4 linked regions of the Macaca fascicularis genome follow. The protein of the gene in region 1 interacts with the protein of each later gene in a biochemical or structural test. Links are inferred from orthologs where the notes say so. Each region holds a gene or a part of one and is shown in the gene's direction. Other genes may lie near its edges. The genes, in order: SYK, ERBB4, ERBB3 and FLT3.

Region 1 (3,564 bases):
TGTTGATTCCAAATATGATTAGTATAATTATTTATTGGCTTTATCCTATGATTTCAAATAACAATACATATTATACAACAGTTAAAATTGCTAAATTTCTAAAATATCTTTGGTTTTTTTTTTTTTTTGGTCTTTAGAAAGTATCCAACATGGAATGTACAAGTAAAAATACTGGTTTCTAAAGTCCTTTGAAACACACCCTCTCTTTGAATTGGTATGATACTAATATGAATGTGGTTGGATTTAGTAGCTTCATGGTATTTCAAATTTAAGGAATTTTTGTAAAAAAAAAATGTATGAGTAGGTAATTTATATGATTCAAGTAGGTTAAAAATATAGACAAAAGTATACACAGACATACATGCTTTTCGGCCAGGTGCCGTGGCTCACACCTGTAATCCCAGCACGTTAGGAGTCCAAGGCAGGTGGATCACCTGAGGTCTGGAGTTCGAAACCAGCCTGACCAACATGGTAGAACCTTGTCTCTACTAAAAATACAAAAAATTAGCTGGGTGTGGTGGTGCACACCTGTAGTCCCAACTACTCAGGAGGCTGAGACAGGAGAATCACTGGAACCTGGAGGAAGAGGTTGCAGTGAGGCAAGATCACACTGTTGTACTCCAGCCTGGGCAACAAGAGTAAAACTCTGTCGAAAGGGAGGAAGGAAGGAAGGAAGAGATGAAGGGAAGGAAGGGAAGGAAGGAAGGAAGGAGAGAGAAAGAAAAGAGGGAGGAAGGGAGGGAAGGAGGGAAGGAGGGAAGGAAGGAAGGAAGGAAGGAAGGAAGGAAGGAAGGAAGGAAGGAAGGAAGGAAGGAGAAATGCTTGCTTTCCAATCTGTCCCTTCCATTTGTTTTTGTGCATGTGCATCTCTGTGTATAAACATATATACATATATACACACACAGATACACATACATGTATATACGTATACACACACAAACATACACACCCATGTATACATTCACAAGTATATACATAAGCACATGTATACACACAATCAAAATTGGTTGTGATACTTATTTTAAAATATATTTGTATATCACCGTCATTTTGTACAATGAACAAAAATGTTTCTGTGTTAATCATAAGCTTTTTCAGTTTGTGAAAGGTTGTGATCTTTATTCTCTGCTTAAATTTGTGAATTAACATAGACATGACGGTGGACATAATTTCAACTAGAGAGTTTGGGGAGAGGAGAGGCTCTCTCGGTCAATTTTGCAAAAGTATGTCTTTACAATACTGAGTCTTTCAATCTATAAACACAGCCCATCCCCGCATTTACTAGGTCTTCTTCAGCCTCTCTCAGGAGAGTTGTTTACCTCTTCAAAGCATTACATTTAAATGTATCCTTTTAAATTCTGCACCTAGAAATTCACTTTCAGCGTTTATGAAAGGCATTTTATATTCACATTCATTACACGTAATCTGAGATGGTGAATCCCAAGATGTTACAGGAATTTGTGCATGTCATCGTTGGTGAGGTTTATTTACAAGTTATTTAAATATTTTACAGTTTAGGGTTTTTGCTTGGTTGGGACGTTCTTCAGTACTGTTCTTCACCATTCTTTTTATTTTATTTTATTTTTTAGAAACAGGGTTTCCCTCTGTCATCCAGTCTAGAGTGAAGTGGCAAGAAACTCACTGCAGCCTTGAACTCCTGAGTCCAAGTGATTCTCCCACCTCAGCCTCCTAAGCAGCTGGGACTACAGGCTTGCACTGTCACGTCTAGCTGATTTTTTTTAGAGATGGGGTTTCACTATGTTGCCCAGGCTGATCTTGAACTTCTGGCCTCAAGCAATCCTCCCCCTTCAACCTCCCAAAGTGTTGGGATTATCAGCATAAGCCACCATGCCCAGCCCCCACCATTCTTTTTTAGTAATGGGGCATTACTCTCATTGTCTGTAAAATTAGGGAATATAGGTTGGAAGGCCAGCCATCCATTACAGGCTTCTGAAGACACATTGTCACTCTGTGGCAGGTATTTCCATGGGACTGGTTCCACGCGGGGATTATGCTTCACAGGAGAAGATTATCTAGAAGCCAGGCGTTTCAGAAAGTTTCTTGTGTGTTATGATTTCTCTTGCAGAGTTGTGAAAACAGTGGCTGTGAAAATTCTGAAAAACGAGGCCAATGACCCCGCTCTTAAAGACGAGTTATTAGCAGAAGCAAATGTCATGCAGCAGCTGGACAACCCGTACATCGTGCGCATGATCGGGATATGCGAGGCCGAGTCCTGGATGCTGGTTATGGAGATGGCAGAACTTGGTCCCCTCAATAAGTATTTGCAGCAGAACAGGTATTGTCAGGTGCCCCCACAGGTCTGGAAGCTCTCCCCTAAGGGACAGGGCCCACCACTGGATGGGCTGAGCAGCCTGATTTCCGTGGAAGCCTTCCCACCCTCCTGTGCCTTCCCTTATTGGTCCATACTCAGGGACCTTGACAGAGGGAAAAAGGGAGACTCAGTCTTTGGATTCAGCTCTGTTAGCTCTAGTTGTTCAGAGAAGAACTCATTCGACAGTTTTGTCTTTCTTTTCTTTCTGTACTCATTCAGTCTTGGCCTAGTGATAGACTCAGCCTCAGAATATCTTGACAGGGAATCTCCTTTCTCACTGGGAAGAACACATTCTTTTTAAAGAAACATTTAAAATAAGTGCTTTTCTAAGAGGTGACAGTTATGTTTTATCTGGCTGACCTTATGTCCTCATGAATAATGACTTCTGAAAATATCAGTCGCTGCTAATTGATTACATCCATCAAGGGAGTAATCGTGTTCTCATCTAAAGCTGTTGTTGAGATGAGGAAACTCACTTGGCGTAAGACAGAATGATGGCTACTGAGGAGCTTGCTTTGTTTGCTGTGCTATGTTTGTACTTAGGTTGTCTCTTTAGTCTCCATGGAAGGGAGGTGTTCTTACCCTTTATAGGTGAGAAACTGAGACTCAGGGTTAGTTCTGTGACCTGTGCAATACTGGAACAAGGATTTAAGGTGGTGCCTGGCTGTCTGTGAACCAGGCCTCACCACTCTGTTATACTGCTTGTCTTGCAATTCCAAGCATGCCAGGAAACTCAATCCCATTGAACACCAGGAGAATATGGCATTCAGTCCTGAAGAGTTATATGCTAACAAAGTTATTTGTCACCACTTGTGAGTTTTGTTGTTTAAGAAGAGGGAAGGAGTAGATTCACCTACTGCCTGCATGAGGAGCATGGTTGTTTGTTGTGAAATGGGTCACTGTCGGTTATAGCTGATGAGATCGTTGTGACTTTCAGACATGTCAAGGATAAGAACATCATAGAACTGGTTCATCAGGTTTCCATGGGCATGAAGTATCTGGAGGAGTGCAATTTTGTGCACAGAGATCTGGCCGCAAGAAATGTGTTGCTAGTTACTCAACATTATGCCAAGATCAGTGATTTCGGACTTTCCAAAGCACTGCGTGCTGATGAAAACTACTACAAGGTAAGTACAACTTAGCTAATATTCAGAGCAGCTGGTGGTAAAAAATGCAAGATAAATGTATGTTTTCTTTATTTTACTATTGGTATGGTTTTAAAAAGCAATTTT
Region 2 (4,248 bases), on another chromosome or scaffold:
GCGTCTTCATGGAGCCTGTTATTTGCTGTGGGTCTAAGAAAGGGAAAGCTTCAGGCTTCAGGCATCTGTATTTCCTATCTGTTCTCAGCTCCATGGAAATTCTTAAGGGATGGAGCTATAGATAAGAGAGTGGGAAATGGAGATCCAGGTCTCAAATGAAAGGCAGGGTGGTTTGATTTTTAAGCTCCCCTGATACTTTTTATTTATATATTTGCTGCTTCTAGAAAAACCAAAAAAGGAAAGTGATTCATACATAGAATGCCTGTACAAATAGTAACTAATAACTTACTACCCCCAGGAGATTCTGGTCCTTGCCAGGGTGCGGTTTCAGAGCTGTAAAAGGCAAGGGATATGAACATTGATATGACCCAGTCCCAGAATATTTTAGATTCAGAAAAGGTCAGAGATTTTCATAACTAGCAATGACCTCCGGATTAGGGACCATGAATGTGCAGAGTGAGGACAAGGAAAGGGCCTAAAGCTGGGTCTACTGTAGAAGAAGCAGAATCATTTAAGGTTAATTATGTTCTGATGTGGCCTCCTTAAATACTTTCAGGTTGAGACAATTTCTAGCCCTTTAAGATTAAATCAGTGGCTTTGGACTAGAATCTGCTTAATAAGAATGAACTCCAAAGGTGAAAAAAACATAAAATCTAAAAATCAAAGGGTATGGCTTTATAAATGTGAAATTTTAGTTTGGCTCAATGTCGGTCAGTTTGGAAATGTGGGAATAACCGGAGAGATGGCATAACTGGGGGCGGGAGGCGGGGCGGTGATTATATCCCTACCACCACCTAATCCTCAGGGGCTACTAGTTACTTACTGTGCACACTTTTAAAGTACTTTCTAATTGTGGACCATGAGTGGCAGAGTGCTGCGGGCGGAGGCTTTTTGCTGAAAGCAACATTGACTTTTCTTTTATTTCTAGGGAAAGTCCTGTCTGTAGATAAGCACCGTGGGACAATGGAGAAAATGCTGACTTGTTTTTTAAAAAAATCTTTTCTGTAAGCGCCCCTCCGATGGTCTGTCCACTCTGCGGGCCAGCTGTCCCAGGCCTCTGCCAGGGAGGGAAGAGGAGTGCTTCAGTGCATGGCTTCGGTGAGCCCTTTAAATCCAGCTTCCCCTGCCCCCACCAAGCGGCTCCCTCTCCCTGACAGGTGTTTTCCCAACTCCGGAGGCCTAGGATTTTGGGGAGTGGCTGAGCCAATGAGATTTCCCTTTGGGGCGGGGGGCGGGGGAGAAGGGCGTGGCTAGTTGGGTCAGAGCATGGGCGGGGTTTGCGCGGCTGAGCAGAGCCTGCCTGGTTGCGTGGAGGGTTGTTTTATTCCCACCGCCCCCCCCACCTTTTTTTTTTTTTCTTTTTTTTTTTTTTTTCTGGAGTCTTATTAATTTCTCTGTGGGCTGCAGCTGGAGACCGCGGAGCGTTGGAAATGACGCTCGGAGCTTTAATTACCGCAGCCGCCGGACAAGTGTGAGGAAAGCTGACAGGAAAAAGAAGGACGGGATCCGGGGAGAAGCGAGAAGCTCCCCCCGCCCCGCTCCCCTCCCCATTTGGACTGGAGGTGCAAGGAAACTGAAGAAGGAGCAGAACACAGCCCGGCTGCGGGGAGAGGCCGGAAACCTACCGCCTCTTTGCAATCAACTTTTTTTGGAAACCTTTCGCCCCCCTTCCTTTTTTATTGTTGACCAACCAGTGAGAGAGAGAGAAAGTGAGGAGGCAGCGAGCAAGCGAAGGCTCACGCGGGGAAATAACTGCACAGTTCGGCCCGGACCGCCACGCGCACACACCGAGCACACTCCAACACACGCACACTCGCCCCCTCTTCGGGCCCCGGCCCTGGACCCGCGGGCGCGGACTCGGCCGCCCGCCCTGGGAGTCGCTACACCGCGCGCGCCGCGCCCGCCCCCCTCGCGCCCCCACGCGCGCCCGGCTGGGGGATCTCCTCCGCGTGCCCGAAAGGGGGATATGCCATTTGGACATGTAATTGTCAGCACGGGATCTGAGACTTCCAAAAAATGAAGCCGGCGACAGGACTTTGGGTCTGGGTGAGCCTTCTCGTGGCGGCGGGGACCGTCCAGCCCAGCGATTCTCAGTCAGGTGGGTTCCTTCTGGCGCTCCGGTCGCCGAACCTGCCGCCGCCGGCGGGGCTGCCTTGAGTGGCTCCCCCGCCCTCTTCACCCATCCCGGGAGGCGTGGAGGGACCGCTCGACCGGGACTTCTTCCCTGGGCTCTCGGTCGCCCCTCTTTCCATTTGAAACTTACCCTGTATGTGTGCCTGTGCTTTATCGTGAAGAAATCACTCTGAGCCCCTCTTTTTTCTCTCCTTAACCCCCTGTTTTTCTTTCCCGAGCGTTTTGTGTGGGAGCCTAAGCGGGATCCCTTCTGGTGGCGCCTGTTGTTCGGGACATGGGAGACCCAAATCCCCAGTCAGAGGAGACTCTCCTGTCCCTGTCTGGTCCCTCGAGGGAGGAACCCGCACCGCCGGGGCCGCGGAGGGCCGGGGTCCTGGGGAGGTGCTGGCTGGGCCTCTCCCGCGCCAAGCCTGAAGGGCGGTGGAGAGTGGCGCTCAGAGACCCGGGCTTTGCACCTGTGTGTGCTGCCGGCGGCCGCTGCGCCCCCAGTCGCCCAAGCCTTGTGGGGTCAGACGCGACTCGTACCCAGCCCGGGCAGCAAGAGTGCAGCGGGCGGGCGCGCCTCGGTCCGGGGTCTGGAGCTCTGGGCCTCTTCGGCCGGCTTCCCGGAGCCCTCGCCCCATTGACTTGAGGGGCGCTTGCTCGCCTGCATGACCTCTTAAAAAAAAAAAAAAATGGCTTGGCACACTCGAGCCAGAAGCCGGGCCTTCCCGTCGGTTGCCGTGTTTGGCTCCTGGAAGAGTTCTTCCTGTAGTTCAACTTGCTATTGGCCGGAGTCCTTCAAACTTGTCTGTTTACTGCCTGGCCGGGCTGCCGAGCCTGCGGGTCACTGGATCCACCCGAGGCGCAAGCGGCGGCGGCGGGTGCGCGGCCACTGCTTGCTGGAGAGCTCGAGCCCCAGGTACCTGGGCAGGCAAAGGGCTAACTGACCCCGAGAGGCAGCGCGGCGGGGTTGGAGCGCCAAGGCTTGCAGGACTAATGACAGCACCTGCAGTGCAAGGAAGCTCAAAGTTTCTGACACTTGAGTTTCCTGGGGATGAAAGTGGGACGGGAGAGGTCTGAGGAGGACCGGTGTCTGATGCGGCCAAGGGGTGCCTTTTGGAGAGCCAGGGAGATTTCTGAAACCATTCGGGGATGGTGACTGGAGCGTGGGAAGTAGCTTGAGGTGATAAAGCCCCCGGGAGTGGCGATAGGGAGCGCTTTAGGCCCCCGGAGGGTGTCCTTCTGACCTCACCAAGGAAACAGCAAGCTGTAGTTTTCCCGCTCCGCCCCCGCCGCCGCCGCCTCCTTTGCCTAGTAAACAACAAGTTACAATCATCGAGGCTTTCAAAATGACCTTCGAATGGCACATGTGCGGCGTTTTGTGCTGGCTGTTTGCACCCTCCCAATTACTCCGAAATTCTTCACGCATACCAGGTCCCGCGCTCCAGCCACCCCCGGAATCACACCAACACGGACTTGACATTCCAAGCGGCCTCTTAGATACATCTCTTTTTATCTCCCTCCCCACTTCGAGTCCCTTCATATTTTCCCTCAATGGGTTGATTATACACATTGACCCATTCAAAGGCAGTGGCGACCGACATGCAGGCTTAGCCGAGAGGAATTTCTACGAGGCGACCTACTGGGGGCTGGCTGGTTCAGCCTCTGCCGCTGAGGGACCCCGCTCCGAGTCCGCAGCAATTTGGTATTAACTGTGCGGCTCCGGGTTGAGCTATGCCGAAAAGCCCTTTTCAGAATTTCTGCAAGGAATGTAATCCAAATTAGTTCTGCAGCTGTCCTCTTCCTCGTCTCAGGCGACACCAGCTCGCGCCCTCGCTCATCTCTTCTCGTTTCGTTGGGCGAATTGTCAGACCCACAAGTGAGCCCATTTAGAGCGCGAGGATTAGCGTGCCATTGTTCCGTGTGTGACTCTGTACTTGAAATTCTGGGGGCACAAAGGCGAGTCTCACTTGTTCAAAACACAAAGTGATCCAGATGAAAGGGCCGTACAAAGAAAAACTCTCGGGTGCATCCCTGGTATAATTGCAACACGCATACTAAGGTGATCCAATGGAAACTGTAAATGCCCCGGGGACTTCTTTCTTCATTCTCCCCCACCCCCACCCTGCCGCA
Region 3 (3,098 bases), on another chromosome or scaffold:
GAGAATCTAACTAATGCCTCATGATCTGAGGTGGAACAGTTTCATTCCAAAACCAACCCTCCCTTTCCCCGGGAAAAACTGTCTTCCACAAAACCGGTCCCTGGTGCCAAAAAAGGTTGGGGACTGCTGCTGAGAGGTAGATTTAAGTTTGGGAGAATTCCAGATCTCAGTGACTGATTCCCCTAACCTTAAGAATACTTTCTTCCCCTCTACCTACAGGGTATGTACTACCTTGAAGAACATGGTATGGTGCATAGAAACCTGGCTGCCCGAAATGTGCTACTCAAGTCACCCAGTCAGGTTCAGGTGGCAGATTTTGGTGTGGCTGACCTGCTGCCTCCTGATGATAAGCAGCTGCTATACAGTGAGGCCAAGGTGAGGTGACACAAAGGATAAGGAGGTGGGGGTGAGTGAAGCGTGGGGATAGGGAGCAGCCAGTGGTCTCTTCCGGAGGCAAGCAGATGCTTCATGGTAAGTTCAAGGAGAGGAGGCTGCAGATGCCAGATATTTTAGTTCAGAGAACAACAAAGAAAAGAATGATCAAGAACTTGGGACTTGGAAATGCTAAGAAAATGTGTGGAAATAAACTTGTGATACCTCTTTCTTTAATCTGCAGACTCCAATTAAGTGGATGGCCCTCGAGAGTATCCACTTTGGGAAATACACACACCAGAGTGATGTCTGGAGCTATGGTCAGTGCATCTGGATGCCCTCTCTACCATCACTGGCCCCAATTTCAAATTTGCCTTTTGAGACCCCCTCTTAGAATCTCTAAGCACTTCAGATTTTTATGTCAGATCAGGTTCTGCCTTCCCTTCACTTCATGCCCATGTCTACTATTTTGCCAGTGACTAGTCCATTTCTTCCTGCACCAGGTGTGACAGTTTGGGAGTTGATGACCTTTGGGGCAGAGCCCTATGCAGGGCTGCGACTGGCTGAAGTACCAGACCTGCTAGAGAAGGGGGAGCGGTTGGCACAGCCCCAGATCTGCACAATTGATGTCTACATGGTGATGGTCAAGTGTGAGTTACCAGCGGAGCCCAACCATTTTCTTTCTTTTTTTCTTTTTTTTTTTTTTTGAGATGGAGTCTCACTCTTATCACCCAGGCTGGAATGCAATGGTGCAATCTCGGCTCACTACAACCTCTGCCTCTCGGGTTCAAGCGATTCTCCTGCTTCAGCCTCTGGAGTAGCTGGGATTATAGGCGGCTACCACCACACCTGGCTAATTGTTTTATATTTAGTAGAGAAGGGGTTTCACCATGTTGGCCAGGCTGGTCTCAAACTGCTGACCTCAGGTGATCTGCCCGCCTCAGCTTCCCAAAGTGCTGGGATTACAGGTGTGAGCCATCGTGCCCGGCCTGACCGCGGCCATTTTCTGACTTCCCTCTGTACTCCTCTTGTGGCTCTATTCCCTTTTTTTTTTTTTTTTTTTTTAATGGAGTCTCACTCTGTCGCCCATACTGGAGTGCAGTGGCGTGACCTTGGCTCACTGTGACCTCCACATTCCAGGTTTAAGCAGTTCTCCTGTCTCAGCCTCCCAAATAGCTGGGACTTTAGGCATGCACCACCATGCCCAGCTAATTTTTTTTGTCTTTTTAGTAGAGACGGGGTTTCACTATGTTGGCCAGGCTGGTCTCAAAGTCCCAACCTCAGGTGATTCACCCGCCTCGGCCTCCCAAAGTGCTGGGATTATAGGTGTGAGCCACCACGCCCGGCCATGGATATATTCCGTTTTATGTCTCTACCTCCTACATCTTATCTCTAGGTTGGATGATTGATGAGAACATTCGCCCAACCTTTAAAGAACTAGCCAATGAGTTCACCAGGATGGCCCGAGACCCACCACGGTATCTGGTCATAAAGGTGAGCAGGGAGTAGGAGATACTAAGGAAATTTAGAAAAAGGAGGAGTTGGCTGGAACCAGGATTCCCCCTAACAATCACTTATCGATATAGAGAGAGAGTGGGCCTGGAATAGCCCCTGGGCCAGAGCCCCATGGTCTGACAAACAAGAAGCTAGAGGAAGTAGAGCTGGAGCCAGAACTAGACCTAGACTTAGACTTGGAAGCAGAGGAGGACAACCTGGCAACCACCACACTGGGCTCCGCCCTCAGCCTACCAGTTGGAACACTTAATCGGCCACGTGGGGTAAGACACCTTCTAATTACCCAACACTTTGCACCCTAAGCCCTCACAAACCCTACAGATACCCAGATTAACTACTTAAAGGCCCCCATGGTGAATATAGATTTCTCCCTTCATCTTAACCTTTTCCTTATTTTTTCCTCCTAGAGCCAGAGCCTTTTAAGTCCATCATCTGGATACATGCCCATGAACCAGGGTAATCTTGGGGAGGCTTGCCAGGTAAGTTCTGATGCTGAGAGGCTGGGTTTTAGGATCAGATTGATAGGAGTAGTGTGGAAGACATTAGAAACCTTTGAGGTTTAATCAGTGTCCTGCAAAAAAGAAGGCAGCGAGGGCCGGGCGAGGTGGCTCACGCCTGTAATCCCAGTACTTTGGGAGGCCAGAGAGAGTGGATCACCTGAGGTTAGGAGTTTGAGACCAGCCTGGCCAACATGGTGAAACCCCATCTCTACCCAAAATACAAAAAACTAGCTGGGTGTGGTGGTGCACAACTGTAATCCCAACTACTCAGGAGGCTGAGACAGGAGAATCGCTTGAACCCGGGAGGCAGAGGTTGCAGTGAGCTGAGATGGTACCACTGCACTCCAGCCTGGGTGACACAGCAAGACCCTGTCTCTTAAAAAAAAAAAAAAAAAAAGGCCAGGTCCGGTGGCTCACGCCTGTAATCCCAGCACTTTGGGAGGCTGAGGTGGGCAGATCATGAGGTCAGGAGTTCGAGACCAGCCTGGCCACCATGGCAAAACCCTGTCTCTACTAAAAATACAAAAACTAGCTGCACACGGTGGCAGGTGCCTGCAATCCCAGCTACTCAGGAGGCTGAGGCAGGAGAATCACTTGAACAGGGAAGCGGAGACTGCAGTGAGCCAAAATCATGCCACTGCACTCCAGCCTGGGCGACAAGAATAAGACTCCACCTCAAAAAAAAAAAAAAAAAAAAAAGGCAGGGAACAA
Region 4 (4,138 bases), on another chromosome or scaffold:
CGGGACTAGCTTATTTCACTTAGCATAATGTCGTCAAGATTCATCCATATTTTAGCATGTATCAGAATTTCCCTCCTTTTTGAAGCTGGAAAATAGTCGTATGTATATACTGCATTTTTGTTCATCATTCATCTGTTGTGGACATGGGTTGCTTCTACCTTTTGGCTACTGTGAATAATGCTGCTTTAAACATGGGTGTACAGACATCTCTTCAAAACCCTGCTTTCAATTCTTTTGGCTACATGACCAGAAATGGAATTGCTGGACCATATTTTTTTTTTAATTTTTCGAGAAACCTCTATAGTGTTTCCTATAGTGGCTGCACCACAGTAGACACTTCTAAAGTTTCGGCCATGTCCTGGGGGAAAGAATTATTGTGCTGTAAACAACATCTAAGGAAAATAACTGTATGGCCAAGAGTAAACAATTTTCATGCTTTATTAGAAAATGATTAAAATAATTAAGAGCATGGAATTCCTAGAATTGGGAGAGACATTATAAACCATTTGGTCTACCCCTTTCCTTTACGATGAGTAAACAGGTTTGTGGAGGTCAAACGGCCAGTTAAGTAAGGGAAGAACCAGAATTGGCATCCAGAGCTTTCCAATCTTCAACTTATTGCAGGAAAATAATAATAATTTTCAACTCGAAAAATTATGCGAAGAAGAAGAACCATTGAGCGGATGATTCGCAACATCCTCTGGGATGTATTTTCTGTGTGTTTTGTTTTCAGGGGTGTTTGTTAACCTCCCTATGCCTTGGTTGACATTGAAACCCCGCCTGTTTTTCTTGCTCCCGCCGCTGACTGGGTCCTGGGCATCCTAGGAGATGGAGGGAGAGACAAAGGAAATCAGTCCACAATTAAGATCCAGGGGGAATGGAATGAGACCCCATGCTCGCCTGTGCGCTGGCCGGAGTCGCCAGCGTGCCGCGCGGATTCAGCGCCCTTCTCAGGGCCTCAAAGATCCCAGAGCGCTAGAAGGGTGGTTTGTGGCTCCCTGCAGTCCCCACGCCCCGGATCCAAACGACAGAGTTCGGGGACTCACAGGGGCAGCAAGGAGGCAGAGCCGCGGAGCCCGTGCAACTTCTCCAGCGGGACCGCGCCCAATCTTCCCCGCCGCAGTCGGGGAGCCCCGGGGGCCGCCAAGCGCAGGCTGCGGACCGCGGCGGGCACGTGGGCTCGGCTGCAGCGCTGCGCCAGGCACCGGCTGCTCGGCTCGGCCCCTGCCTCTGGGGAGAGGGTTCCTCCCCCCTTCCACTTTGCACCAGTCCGAGGGAATTTGCGGTCGGTGACGCGCATCCTTAAGAGAGCCACCTGCAGCGCGGGGCGCGCCGCTCCAGGCGGCATCGCAGGGCTGGGCCGGCGCGGCCTGGGGACCCCGGGCTCCGGAGGCCATGCCGGCGTTGGCGCGCGGCGGCGGCCGGCTGCCGCTGCTCGGTAAGGCCCCGCTAGCCCGCTCGCAGCCCCTCGCGGCCCCTCAGCCCCCACCCCGCACTGTGGACCCGGGCGCGCGCCTCCTCCGGCCCAGCCGCCTCGCTCCTCCCCGCGCTCGCTCCTTCCATTGCCTCCCGCGCCCCTCCCCTCTTTCGCGCCCTCCGGACTCGCCCACTACTTGCCCGCGGCCCCGGCTTTTCCCACCCCGCGTCCTCTTCCCTCTTCTCCGACGTCTCTCCTCTGGCCCGGTCCGCGGTCCCGAGTGGCGGCCCGGACTTTGCAGACGGCCTCCCCGAGGCGCTGCGCCGGGTCTGGGGCAGCTCGGCCCGCGCGCTCCGGTGCTGGGCCGTCAATGGGAGTCTGCGGCCGCGAGCTCTGCGCCAGGTGGCCAGGGACCTCTTCTGGACCGACCCCTGGATACTGTAGACTCCTGGGTGTCGTCGTTAACTCTTCTTTTGAGGTTTTGATTTATAGAGGGAACTCTGATGGAAAAATGCGTCCGGGTTCTCCCCTAGAGCGAGTCGTCCTCAATAACGATACACCCCAGCCCCGCCGAATTTTGGTTGGATCAGCGAATAGTTTACCTAGGAAATATTATGCAAACAGATTTATATATTAAAATACTAGCTGTCTCTTTCTTCTACGCTCTTCTTATCCTGGCATTAAACCCCAGTGGGGTTTTCAAGGACTCTGAGGACTCTCCCCAGAGAATCTGCTGGGTAGCATAGTTATTGAAAAAAAAAAAAAAAAAGCTTCCGATCGGTTCGTGTCAGCTTTCTATTTGGAAGGATGAGAGGACTGAATCGAATTTGGGTTGAAGGCGACAGAGTTCTGGGAGCCCGGGAGCTCTGGTCCCTGTCCTAGGTCTGCAACCTTGGGACTGACACTCACCTCCCCCGGCCTCCGCGTCCTCATCTGTGCAGTGAGGGAGTCCGTGCGTGTCCCCTTCAGCTCTGAAATGCTAAGACTTGAAGTCTGTGGTAAATAGAGAAAATACTTGCAATATAGAAGTGCAGGAATTATATCCAATAGCTTTTGCTACAAATAATTATGAAATATAAAAAGTAAAAAATGTAAATCAAGGGAAAAAAGTGGAAAAACAAACATTTTAAAATTTTAGTTCTTAAACATTGTAGTTTAGTTCTCAAACATTTATCTTTACTAGTTAGTAAATCTGTAATTTCAAATGTATAGTACAATGTGTTTTTCAGATTCCATTAATACAAAATGTTAGCTTTCTATTATGTATGATATTAAGTAGTAAGTGCATTTTTCAGAAGCATAATGGGCTTTCTAAAGGTATAAGCGTCAATACTTGCAACTATATTTAAGCTGTATTGAATTCTTTTATATTTAGGAAAGAATTCAGAAATTTCTATATCTCTCTCCAGATATTTCTAAATGAAGTATAATTGGCACACAGTAAATATGCACAAATATTAAGAGTACAATTTCATTAGTTTTCATATATGTGTGTGCCCAAATAACCACGATCAGACTGAAATATAAAGTAATTCTAGCTCCAACCTCTCTGTCAGTGCTCCCTCCCCAGGTAGCCTCTATTCTGACTTCTGATGCCATAGGTTACTTTTGCCTGTGTTTGAACTTCATGTGAAGCAAACCATCACCAGTGCTGTTTTATGTCCAGTTTCTTTTACTCAACATTATAATAATAAGATTCAACCTTGTTCTCTGTAGCAGTGTGTTTTGTTTTTTTTTTTTAATTGCCAGTACCATTTCATGGTATGAATAGATGTTATAATTTATTTTATCCATTCTGTTCTTGAAGCACATGGAAGTTGTTCCAATTTTGTGTAATTATGCATAGCACTGCTGTGAACATTGTTTTATGTATGGTGGACATAAACACCATATATAAAGGATTATGCCCACACGTAGAATTCCTGGATCATAGGGAAGGGATATGTTCAGTTTTGATAGATACTGTCAAACAGTTTTCCACAGTGGTTATACCAATTTCCACTCCCACTAGAGTGTATGGCAGTTCCAGTTCCTCACATTTTTGTCAACACTTGCTATTATGGATTTTCTTGAATAAAGAAAGATAAAGTGAGAAGCTTAAACATGAGACCTTTAAAATGGTTAATAGCCTTAAATTCCTTGAATTAGAACATGAGATCCCAATTTCCCTTATATTGTAAACACTACTTTTTTTTTTTTTGAGACTGAGTGTCGCTCTGTCACCCAGGCTGGAGTGCGGTGGTGTGATCTCAGCTCACTGCAACCTCCACCTCCCAGGTTCAAGCAATTCTCCTGCCTCAGCCTCCTGAGTAGCTGGGATTACAGGTGCGTGCCACCACACCCAGCTAATTTTTATATTTTTAGTAGAGACGAGGTTTCACCATGTTGGCCAGGCTCGTCTCGAACTGACCTCAAGCAATCCACCTGCCTCAGCCTCCCAAAGTTCTGGGATTACAGGTGTGAGCCACCATGCCTGGCCACGCCCGGTCTTTTATTTATCATTTATGAATAATGAAGAAGCTTTCCAAGTGGCATTTAAAGGAGAGGAACATGTTCCCAATGGGCTTTTCTGCATTATGTGCTGATATTGGACAGAGAGAAGTATTTCAATATTTTAAGAGCTGTGTACTACCTTTTTCATTAGTGTTAAAAAAAATTCGTATTCAAAGCCTTGAACTGCACATTTGAGTTGCCATCCTTTTCCCTTGTTGCTTATCTTCC

The links.
Region 2: the proteins of SYK (region 1) and ERBB4 form a complex in vitro, tested with the Homo sapiens proteins (2 studies listed by BioGRID and IntAct, with this or other methods). The link is inferred for Macaca fascicularis from reciprocal best matches to the Homo sapiens genes SYK and ERBB4.
Region 3: the proteins of SYK (region 1) and ERBB3 form a complex in vitro, tested with the Homo sapiens proteins (2 studies listed by BioGRID and IntAct, with this or other methods). The link is inferred for Macaca fascicularis from reciprocal best matches to the Homo sapiens genes SYK and ERBB3.
Region 4: of the proteins of SYK (region 1) and FLT3, one has a biochemical effect on the other in vitro, tested with the Homo sapiens proteins (2 studies listed by IntAct, with this or other methods). The link is inferred for Macaca fascicularis from reciprocal best matches to the Homo sapiens genes SYK and FLT3.

The regions. Positions count from the first base shown.
Region 1 is NC_088389.1:121,173,272-121,176,835, forward strand, and holds part of SYK (tyrosine-protein kinase SYK), read left to right. Parts: intron 1-2,086; coding exon 2,087-2,296; intron 2,297-3,269; coding exon 3,270-3,459; intron 3,460-3,564. UniProt on the Homo sapiens protein: Non-receptor tyrosine kinase which mediates signal transduction downstream of a variety of transmembrane receptors including classical immunoreceptors like the B-cell receptor (BCR).
Region 2 is NC_088386.1:108,380,015-108,384,262, reverse strand, and holds the start of ERBB4 (receptor tyrosine-protein kinase erbB-4), read left to right. Parts: upstream 1-1,396; 5' UTR 1,397-2,016; coding exon 2,017-2,098; intron 2,099-4,248. UniProt on the Homo sapiens protein: Tyrosine-protein kinase that plays an essential role as cell surface receptor for neuregulins and EGF family members and regulates development of the heart, the central nervous system and the mammary gland, gene transcription, cell proliferation, differentiation, migration and apoptosis.
Region 3 is NC_088385.1:62,883,399-62,886,496, forward strand, and holds part of ERBB3 (receptor tyrosine-protein kinase erbB-3), read left to right. Parts: intron 1-219; coding exon 220-375; intron 376-616; coding exon 617-692; intron 693-875; coding exon 876-1,022; intron 1,023-1,768; coding exon 1,769-1,866; intron 1,867-1,958; coding exon 1,959-2,150; intron 2,151-2,294; coding exon 2,295-2,366; intron 2,367-3,098. UniProt on the Homo sapiens protein: Tyrosine-protein kinase that plays an essential role as cell surface receptor for neuregulins.
Region 4 is NC_088391.1:8,024,620-8,028,757, reverse strand, and holds the start of FLT3 (receptor-type tyrosine-protein kinase FLT3), read left to right. Parts: upstream 1-1,313; 5' UTR 1,314-1,395; coding exon 1,396-1,438; intron 1,439-4,138. UniProt on the Homo sapiens protein: Tyrosine-protein kinase that acts as a cell-surface receptor for the cytokine FLT3LG and regulates differentiation, proliferation and survival of hematopoietic progenitor cells and of dendritic cells.